Kluyveromyces lactis: one gene and its partners. Each later gene encodes a partner of the first gene's protein in a complex. Links are inferred from orthologs where the notes say so. Each region holds a gene or a part of one and is shown on either strand. Other genes may lie near its edges. The genes, in order: POM152, NSP1 and GLE1.

Region 1 (3,759 bases):
AACGTATCGTGTTTTAGCAAACTCTCTTCTCGTAAATGACTTATTTGTAAGAGTGCAAATCAAATAAATCAAAACCTTAAATTTCTAAACTTCTTTTATAGAAGGAGATTCAAATGCACCTCTGTAATGTTATATACGACGAACGTGAGAGCTGTATATGGTGTTGAAAACAAATAAGTTCCAGTGCTCCAGTTGTGATTCAAAAAAGGAGACGATCCTGGACAATGGAAGTATCTCGATTCCAACCAAAACATTCTTTTTCTCTCTGGTAAATATATATATTATATATGTTAGGACCCTTAGCTATCATTACTATTACTGAATCTGGCATTCAAATTTGCCGAGGTTTTTATCAGATGAGGTCATGATAAAACTTACCTAATTCAGGATTCATTAGCCAGATGGGGTAAAGACATTTGCTTACTAGCATTTATGTCCTCCTTGCTTCTGACTAGGGTTTTATGAGAGGATGACGGGAATTTGACGGGAATTTGACGTAAGCAATGGAGCTATGCAACGGAATCGACATTATAATATCGATGCAAACGATCTCACTGGTAATTCTGGATAGGCGAAGAATTCAAGAGGCTATAATTCGAATATTAAGACCACAACGTAGTGGCAGATCATATAGAGTTGCTGCGTCCTTGACCATTGTACCTTGATCAGAAGCGAAACCTGAATCGTACATAATGATATATCCGATTCAGATCTTGTCAACAAACAGAAGTTCAAACTTTAAGCTTATGTTTGGTCTTCTCATGTATGCAGATGCAGGCTAGGATCAACAAGCAATCGCGATCCAGGCACCCGTTACATACCAATCGTCAATTAAAAAGCGAGCGACTAAGTGATAAGTTGTATGCGTGATCCCATTTTTTTCTATTAAACTTCTGCGTATTGGCACTTTAGAATCATATTCTGTTGAAAAGGGAAGCTGAGATAAGTTCAGACGCATATACAGTTAGATAATGGATTCCAGTTTCGGAACAAATGGGTTCTATACACATACTCCATCGATGTGGAGTGATAGTAGGCGTAGGAACGTTGGAAATAGAGATAAAGACTCGTTCAGAGGAGGAATAAGCGATCGAAGAAATGAAGAGATCAACAAACCAAAAGAAGATCCATTTTGTATATCCGGTTTTTCCAATTACACAGGAAAATCGAAGTCAAGCACTAGTAGAGCAAAGAATGGCCCAGCGAGTGAATCGATTAAGGAGCTACCTTTGATTTCTACTGAAGTTCTCGATGCAGCCAGTCAGAGAAGATTAGCCTTCGTCGTTTTTTTTATCATTCAATGCTACAAACTATACGATCTAATCCTACTTAAGAGTGGGATACCATTATCTGGGATTTTTCTATCGAATTCAAGGTTAAACTTCATTTCAAAATATTTGGTAATAGACTCTTTGTTCTTTTACTGTCTCCCCACGTTCAAAATACCCAAATTAAAGTTCAAACCACTGATAGTGCTTTTGCAGATTATTTCATCCGCAACCCTCACACTGTTTATCTCCAGTGAACAAAGTATCCCATTGGTATCGCTTCTATTGTCATTATGGAGACAGTATCACAGCAGAGACTTGTCCTTAACAGGTGACTCTGTCAACCCAAGAAAGGCTATGAATTCGGCAGAACACTTCAAAGGTGCACATACCATTAAAATTTTGCCAGAAAATACAGCATATTTGAATCCCTTCCACTCGTCTTTTTGTCTACCACTGGACCAATCTGGTCCTGCCATTGAACTACCTATAAGAGTCAACTCATCATCCACAATCAATACAGTCCAGTTAGAGTTCAGAGATCTATACTCAAATGAAGGTGAACTGTGGAACTTCACCAAGAACGATTTAAAACCACTCAAGGCAGATATTTCAAAGGAAGAAACTGATCGTAACATACATTACTTTACTGTACCTCTTAACAAAATCGGGTTTTACCAGTTGAAAACCGTTCTAGACACTAATAATATCAATTTGAGAATATACAAATCCCAATTAGTGCTACCTCACTGCCCATTGGCTTCCATTAACGGAAAGGGAGAAAATGATAGATGTGTTGGAGATAATGATGAGGTTTCAATTCAGGTACAAGGTGCTCCACCTCTTAAATTGACTTATACTAAGACAATCAATGGCCAAAGATACGTACTAGAAGATTCATCACTTCAACCAGAATATTTTGAATCACCTTTGCTAACGAATTCAAAATTCTACAGTCAAAAAGATGTCCAAGATTTAAAATGGGCTCGTTCGTACCCTGTAGATATCGCATTAGAAACTTCAACCAAAGAATACGGTGAACATGTTTACTCTATCGAAAGAATTGTGGATGGATTTGGTAATAGCATTGATTTTTCCTCATTATCATCACAAGTAAGAGAAAAGTATGATTTGATCCACAGATTCTACGTGCACGACTTACCAAGAGTATCTTTGGATGAAAAAATGAATCCCGACAGTTCTGTTAGAAGGTCTTTAATAGTCAAATTGGACTCTGGCGATTTTAACAAGGATGCTCCATTCATCGTTCAGTTATCCCATGAAGATAACAACTCCAAAGTGAGATACTTCGAAAAACAATTCAATGATAAAACATTAGAATTCAAAGTTGATGAGCCAGGTTCTTATAATTTGCTCTCAGTAAAATCGAGGTATTGCCACGGTGCCGTGATTGGAAAATCTAATGTTCTGATAACTAAACCAATTCCTCCTCAATTATCTGTAAGATCAACCCCAATATTAGATCAATGTGTTGGACAGGTCGGCTTGAATTTTGATCTTACTTTTACCGGTGTTCCTCCCTTTTACTACAAAACAAAAATATACAAAACTGAGCAAGGAGAACGTAAACTATATGATACAAAAAAATTCAGCTCCCAAGGAACCAGAAACCAGTTTACTTATTCACCCACATCAGAAGGCAGTTATGAAATTGTTTTCACCGAATTGTCAAATGAACTTTTCACATCTCCTATCTCCTTAGATTCGAAAGAGTACACATTCAAAACCAGCATGAGAGTGAAACCTAGTGCAAAGATTTCAGGGAAGCTAGAGACAAAATTATGTCTTGGAGGGAAAACGAAGGTACCTATTAAATTCAGTGGTGAGCCTCCTTTCACGTTAAACTATGATTTAGTAGAGACTTCTTCTAATAAGAGAACTTCGTTTAATAAAGAGAATATTCAAAGTTTTTCCTATGAGATCGAAACACCTAATTTCAACATTGGTGGTGATCATATCCTATCTTTAGTTTCTGTGAAGGATTCCAGTGGATGTTTGGTAGGTCTAAGTGGTACTGATGCCAGAATTACCGTTAGAAGAGATATTCCTTCTGCTTCTTTTGCTGTGTCAGAATCTTCCTCCCAAGTCAGCATTAAAGAAGCTTCATTCGCAGAACTTCCATTAAAACTTTCAGGTGAAGGACCTTTCAGAATCACCTATAGCCATTTGGATAACAAGGGAGACGTTCTCGAAACTGAAGAGGTGACTTTCAGTTCCAACTATAAACCGGCCTTAAAGGTTATGAAGGAAGGTTTGTATAAATTGGCTTCAATTCGTGACCAGAGTTGTGTTGGCAAGATCGTAGATCCGAACCATACTTTCCAAGTAAGTTATCTCAAAAAACCTACGTACTCATTAATTGAGCACAACAGAATCTCAAAACTGGACGATTTCAACTACATTAAAAATGATGTCTGCCAAGGGTTTGAAGAAACCATCGATATGTCTCTAAACGGCATACCACCCTTTT
Region 2 (3,707 bases), on another chromosome or scaffold:
AGGCTGGTTCTCATGCTTTAGTTCAAAAGAAATTGTTTGAAACTATTACGTCGTGTAACTTCTTGAAAATGGATCCAGATCTTGGACTAGAATTGATGTTTGAATCTGTTGGTGCTGCAACCTCCGGAAAAATCCGTGCGAATCTAACTTTAGATAACCCTCTCCAGATTACATCATACGAAAATGGTATTTCGCTCTTTGAAATCATTATACCCATCTTCCAGTTGATTGCGTCAGTGTTACTCAGCTCAGGAACATCAAGCCAATACGTTTTCCGTGAGGCAAGAAAATTGATATCTCATTTCAAGCAATTGGTACAAGGCGCATTAAAGAGAGATGCATTACTTGAAAAGAATGGAGTTGAAACCAAACCAGAAGGACTTGAAGAATTTGTTCAACTCATCATTTTGGTTTGTACACTGACAAATTATTCTGGAGCGCAATAACGATCAGGGCAATATGGTTACATGATTATTAGATTGAACCAGCAAAGTACATAGGTTTCAATATATAGATTATCATAGTATTAACCTCAAGGTCAAAAAAAAAAATCATTTCTGAGACTTCGTCAACGTCTTGAGTTTTCCTTCAAGTTGCTGAGAGTTGTTCTCTAGCGACTTAAGAGCATCTAGGTGAGAATTTAATAACTGGATCAACTGAGCGTTTTCTTCCTTATTAGGGAAGCTTGAGTTTGTAGCCTTATTGAACGTTTCGCTAACTTCGTTTATTTCGGTAATCAACGAGGAAAGATTTAGTGACAAAGAGTTTAGGTTGTCGTCAAGCATTTCCACTGTATGATAGGCTTGTTGTCTCTTTTGATCATTCGTTTTGCTTGTGTTGTTATTGTTGCTCGAAGAAAGCACCTCAGATAGCAGATCTTCAGCCTTTTGTTCATAAGAATCGAGGAAATACTCAAGTTCAGATTGTTGTCTTTCGATATATGAGAGAGACTGATCTACTCTATTTTGAGATTGTTCAGCAGTTAATGTATCAGAGTACAACCGACTTATTTGTTCACCACCTTGCATTAATACTTTGTCCCACTGATTTATCTTCTTGGCGTAACTCTCAAAGTGATCTGCGGTTCCAGAAAGTTGGGAGGTCCATTTTGATACTAAGTCATCCAAAGTCTTATTGTCGAGGGAAACAGGTTCGATAGTAACGGGTTTAGTAGATGTCTTTGTTCCAGTTGTAGTTTCCTGCTTAGCACTTTCAGTTGTTTCTTTGGTAGTATCCGGTTTCAGACCGCCCAAAGAAAAGGAAGGAGCTTCAGTTTTCGTGTCTTTGGAAGCGGTAGTTTCCGCAGGTTTACTTCCAAAGCTAAAAGCAGGCTTTGAATCAACCTTAGTGTCAGATGTTCTGCTATCGGCAGGTTTACTTCCAAAGCTAAATGCAGGCTTCGAATCGTCCTTAGTATCAGATGATTTGCTATCGGTAGGTTTCGCTCCTAACGAGAATGCGGGGCTAGGATCGGCTTTATTTTCTGAGGTGTTGGACCCTAAAGCAAAAGATGGTTTTGATTCTGACTTTGACCCGTCAGTCTTGTTATCGAACGAAAAGGCCGCTTTGGAAGCTGACTTGGTATCTTCAGTCTTATTGCCAAAAGAAAACCCAGGCTTGGATTCGGTATCGTCAGCATTCGTGTTCAAGGATCCCAGAGAAAATCCCATTTTAGAGGCAGGTTTAGATTCTTCTGTTTTAGATCCCAGAGAAAATCCACTTTTGGTCTCCTCTTTACTGTTGCCAGATTTAACATTGAATGCAAAACCCTGTTTACTTTCTGGTTTGTCATTGGAAGGTTTAGAGGGTTCAGGAGCCACTGGTTTTGATCCAAAGCTGAAGGCTGGCTTACCGGCTTGTTCTGTCCCAGAGGGCTTTGCTCCGAAAGAAAATGCTGGTTTAGCATCTGTAGGCTTGTCCTCCGTTTTTGAACCAAATGAGAATCCTGTCTTTGCGCCTGAGGTTTTTTCTTCAGGTTTTGATCCCAGACTTAGCGAAAAACTTGGCTTGTTGGCATCTCCAGCGGCAGAACCAAAGTTGAACCCTGAAGTAGCACCGGCTGGTTTTGTATCAGTGTGGTTCCCACCAAAGAGTGATGTGGCATTTGTATTAGGTTTCGAGGTTTCAGTTGGTTTAGCGGAAGTTGTGAAGCTTGATGTTGAAGTTGTATTGGCACCAAATATTGGTTTAGAGGCATTGACACTCGGAGTTGTAGTCATTGCATTATTTCCAGATAGTCCGAAATTAAAAGCGGGCTTTGCATCGGTCTTTTGTTCAGGTTGTGTACCAAATGAGAATCCACTCTTGGGTTGAGTGTCTTTAGCCTGTTGCGACCCGCCAAATAGCGAAGAGCTACTTCCTGCTGCTCCTACGGAGCCAAAGCCACCAAATGTTGGTTTTGCTGCGCTTGTATTCGTGGTGTTGCTGTTGTTATTGTTCGCATTGCTGGCAGCATCGTTTGCGTTAAAACCTCCAAAAGCAGGTTTTGGTGCATCGCCTGTACCAGCAGTTGTATTAGAGGCACCAAACGAAAATGGCGAAGCTGCTGGCTTGACTGCATTAGCGCCCTGTTGTGTATTCATACCAAAGCCTCCGAATGCAGGTTTTGTTTGTCCATTGTCATTGGTAGTGGTCGCTCCAAACGCTGAAAATGCATTTCCCTGCTGCGTATTAGAGCTACCAGCAGCTGAACCGAAACTTGCAAAAGCATTGCCACTGGTCTGGCCTCCAGTATTGCCAAAGAGAGAGGAAGCACCTGTGCTGGTACTGGTGTTTCCTGTGGTAGATACATTTTGTCCTGATCCAGTACCGGCAAACAAATTGGAATTGCTGTTCCCACCGGAAGCATTTCCCGCTGTAGAAAAGTTGAAAGTGGGGTTTGAATTGAAACTCATTTTGTTGATTAACGAACCCTTGTAATTGTCCACTTCATAGACTAGCTATGCCTATTCAAACCAATTCGTTTGCCATTATGTATACAATTTTCAGTTTATTGTTTAATCATATCGAGTTTTATGATCTTTTCGATTTTAGAAAGAAACAAGGTCCAAAAAATTTGAGTGAGGGTAACCTTGATATGATGCATATACGGATGGACATATAAAGCTTGACTAGCCAGAGTAAGCTCTGTTTTAAAGTTTATTTCCTAATATTATAATGAATGTATAGTAAGATTTATATAATGTACAGAATTCAATCGGAGTAAACCGAGCTTGATGGCTTTTATGTCTTTCGATTCTCTCCTCCAATATCAATAACGGTTAACAATGGAATAGAGTTTTCCTAGGAACTATAAATCACATTACCAACTTTCTGGGTAATTTGATCCAAGAGTAAGGCATCATATTTGTGTTTTTGATCATCTCGTATATCTCAATGCATTAGGTTAAAGTTCCTTTTGAAAAAAAAAGAAAGAGAGGTGAAAGTAGGGGCAGACGTATCCCCTCGAATTAGTTTGTGGTTTTCATGTCTACAATTCTCCACGTTTCTTAGACGGAATGTAATTTGTATTCTCTTTGGGGGCTATGTGCATTGGGTGCTGCTATGTTGAGCCTGGCGAATTATTTGATTTCGCAAGCGTGGTCTTTCTTGAATGTGCTAGAGTGTCTAAAACTTCGTCAAACGCGCGGTCCATTTGTTCTTCTTGCTGTACTTCTTCCTCGCTACTATAATCGCTATCAGAATACCCATCACCTTTCTTCTCCTGC
Region 3 (3,543 bases), on another chromosome or scaffold:
GCTGATAATTTTTTTATCCTATTAGTGAGTGTTATTTACAGGACGAAAGACAGGATAAAAACTACTTGGGAGCATTAATTGATCTTTTCCGAACCGTTGAAAGGAAAACCGAATCCACTGACCAAAGTTCTAGCCTGTACGTCAGTTTGGGCAGTTGTGTTGATGTTGATGTGCATACCAAAAGTTACTGGCCAAAGATCTTGATTAGCATCAATCTCTGGGAAAAATCTGACTTCATCGCTGGTCATACCAAATGATAACCCACCAAATCTGTTACCTGACTTGTTGGAGATACCTTTGTATTCTCTGATTCTTGGTAGTACAATTTCAGTCAAAGTGGATAAGAACTGAGACATTGGACGACCTTTCAATGTAATGACAGCACCCATTTGGGTACCTCTTCTGACCTTCCAGGCCGGAACATCATTCCTAGAGAACAAAGCCTTTGGTTTACACCCGGTAATTTGTTGCAATTGTAATGCTGCTGAAATTGGTAGATATTGGTTCTCTTTTGCATCTCTGACGTAACAGTTAATAACAACGGACTCGATGTCTGGAATGTTCTTCCACGTTACTGGATGAATATCTGGCAATTGAGCACTTGAGCCCTTAGGTTTTCTGGGTTCTCTGTTAATGTGATATGGAGAAGAACCGTCCCATTCTCTTTGCTTCAACCCGAGCTTCGTTTGGCTTTTGTGGGAATAATTTATCAATAATAAATCGCTTTGTAAAGTATTATAATAATGCTCACGAACACGGTCTTGATGTGTAACAACAGGCTTGAATGCTGGAGATCTAATATCGTTTTTACTATATTTCAATTCAGGAAACCTTGGGGATAGCTTGCTCTTGTCGATCTTAACCAAATGATGCACTGGCTTAACCAAAGCACAAGCAGCTTTGGAGACCTTTGAACTACTGTGGAAACCACGTACCACTTGCATTATCACTTGGTATCTTCTCACAGATGCGAACGAATGAATGTATAAACCTACGAATGGGAAGGAATACTGCTTTAAATCGAGTGAAACTGATCAAATCTCTATCATTATCTTACAGCTTTAGCTCGAAAGGTCGAAAAATTTTTAAAACTTTCAAGTACAGAGAATTCAATATACGTCACGTGACAAGAATCAACAAAAAGTGAAATTTGATTAAAAACCAGGTAGAGCTCAGTTGATGATTATAGAGAGTGTTGACCTTTCAGCCCTTGTGTTGATGCATTGCAGCCGTTTTTTTTTGATCCCGTACTTAAAGACACGTAGCTGGATTCTCCATTTAGGTAATAACAGTCGAACTTAACCCCGAATCGTTTACTTGAATTGAGCTTTTTACCGATTTGATAAAGTAAAGAAAGCGATTGACACATATCAGGACAATTGAGATGAGGTTCTCATTTGACGAATTGTACGAGAATGCTGAACGGAAACAGAGTCAGAATACCAGCAGCAGTGATTCTGACTATGAATTAGACGGGGAGTTTACGTATATTGGCGATCCATCTGATGGGATCCAGTTAAAACTACCGAAATTATACCATTCTTCAAAGAATGACGGCCAAGGTGAAGAGCAAGGGTTTAGTTCAGGAGATACAATTTCTTTAGAGGATGTGGTAGAACCAGAAATAGTTTCAATGCTTTCCAACTTAAATATCACTCTTGAAAGGAATGCACTACCGCATCTTACAACGAGAGGTCACGAGAATAAAGCTTTAGGCCCTGTTCTTATTGACGAAGCAGAACTTTATTACCAAGAGAAGAAGGATTTGATTGACGAGGTGGAACAACACACCTTTCCTATGCAAGACCAGGTGCTTGAATCTGTGTGGAATGAGGAAATTGATTCAATTGAAAAGGTGAATCAACGTTTAATTAAAAGCATAAAGGATAAAAAGAAGAGGGAAGAGGAAGCACGTATCCAGAAAGAATGCGAAGCGGAGAAGCGCAGACAAGAAGAATTGAAGCATAAAAAGGAGATGGAAAAGAAGTTGAAGGAGGAAGAGAAACGGAAGATTCAAGAAATGGCAGAAAAGGAGAAGAAAGCTGAAGAAGCGAAGAGAGTAGAAGCCCTGAAAAAGAAGCAAGAACAAGAACAACTGGAGAGGAATAAACTTAAACAGTCCAAAGAATCTACAAATTTCAAGTTAATCGAAGAAACTTTTACTAAATACAAAACCATGATTCAGACAATTAAAACAGAAATAATTGAACCGGTGAAGGCGGATCCCACCTTGAAGAAAACTTTAGCACAACATAAGAGGAAAATTAATCCAAAATTCGGACAATTAACCAACAGTACTGCACAATTGAATGCAATCACCAATGAACTTACCGAACTGGTACTTCAAACGAAGGCTAACCAATTAGCCTATAAATGGATTCTAAACTTTATAGCTAAGGCGATTGTTTCCCAAGCAGAATCTGAGGCCAGAGTGAAACCTGAAAGCGCTTTGCCTTTAGGAACACTTGCGCTAAGTCTTCTTGCATCATACCCGGAACTCAAAGAGTTCTTACTGGCGAGACTCATCAAGAAATGTCCGTTTGTTATCGGTTACACGTGCAGCATAGACACAGTCGAAGGAAGAACCAGAATGGGATGGAAACGTCAAAGTGACAACAGATGGGAAGAAGATATTTCATATGATGAAAGGATGGGTGGTATGATTACCTTGTTTGCTGTCATCACAAGATTACCTCTACCGCAAACGTACATTCAGAAACTTGTGCATCCTTTCCCAATCTCTTGGTCATGGAGAATGCTAGCTAGAATCGGCAACACTCCAAAGGATCTACTTACAAATACACACTTCGTCGTTCTTGCCTACTGGTGGGAGGCTGCGGCAGCACAATTGCTCCAAGCATACAACGTTCAGGCAACAAAACTACTTGAAGTTATTTCGATTGATTTAACTGCACTTGTTGCTGACAAAAAATTCGTTGGTGCAGCAAGACTCCGCATTATTAACGAGGAATGGCATAATACAAATCAAATATCATCATTCCCAGATATGGCAGCATAACGGCTAGAGTTTTCTCTAGTAAAATATATATATATATATATATGTATGTATACCTTCAGATCTTCGTTTTCATCATGTGTTCAGGGCATAGTATATGCCTTATGTTCTCATAAAACTTTAATAATGAGGATTCAAATATTTCCAGAGAGAGAGCGTACCTCATTGCCTAGAAATACTCCGCAACTGTTGAACAAACCATGAACCCATTTTCACGTGCCCATTTACCCTTTTCTTTCTTATTCTTACTTGCAACAGTCTTTATACTCAAAGAGTTCGAACCTTTAAAAACGTAGTTTGAATCTTGTGAATACTTCCATGTGGTTATCATACAAACGAATAACGATCGGATCATCAAAAACTCGCAGTAAGACCTAGAGCAATGACAAGGCATTGTGACGTTTCGATACCGGATTCACCTGAACCTCCTTTTCCAATTACCACATCGTTCGTCGATGTAATAGCTGGTTTCGGTCGTGGATCAGCAGAGTTAGGAATTCCTACAGCGAACGTGCCCATCGATGATT

Evidence for each region.
Region 2: POM152 (region 1) and NSP1 share a complex: the UniProt entries of both Schizosaccharomyces pombe proteins name them as parts of the nuclear pore complex. The link is inferred for Kluyveromyces lactis from reciprocal best matches to the Schizosaccharomyces pombe genes pom152 and nsp1.
Region 3: POM152 (region 1) and GLE1 share a complex: the UniProt entries of both Schizosaccharomyces pombe proteins name them as parts of the nuclear pore complex. The link is inferred for Kluyveromyces lactis from reciprocal best matches to the Schizosaccharomyces pombe genes pom152 and gle1.

What each region holds. Positions count from the first base shown.
Region 1 is NC_006042.1:1,588,335-1,592,093, reverse strand, and holds the start of POM152 (Pom152p), read left to right. Parts: upstream 1-971; coding exon 972-3,759. UniProt on the Schizosaccharomyces pombe protein: Functions as a component of the nuclear pore complex (NPC).
Region 2 is NC_006041.1:1,040,721-1,044,427, forward strand, and holds NSP1 (FG-nucleoporin NSP1), read right to left. Parts: upstream 2,895-3,707; coding exon 552-2,894; downstream 1-551. Other genes in the region: NUP192 (Nup192p), read left to right, coding at 1-446. UniProt on the Schizosaccharomyces pombe protein: Functions as a component of the nuclear pore complex (NPC).
Region 3 is NC_006039.1:1,325,327-1,328,869, reverse strand, and holds GLE1 (nucleoporin GLE1), read left to right. Parts: upstream 1-1,384; coding exon 1,385-3,019; downstream 3,020-3,543. Other genes in the region: MRPL7 (mitochondrial 54S ribosomal protein uL5m), read right to left, coding at 75-944; FMN1 (riboflavin kinase), read left to right, coding at 3,399-3,543. UniProt on the Schizosaccharomyces pombe protein: Functions as a component of the nuclear pore complex (NPC).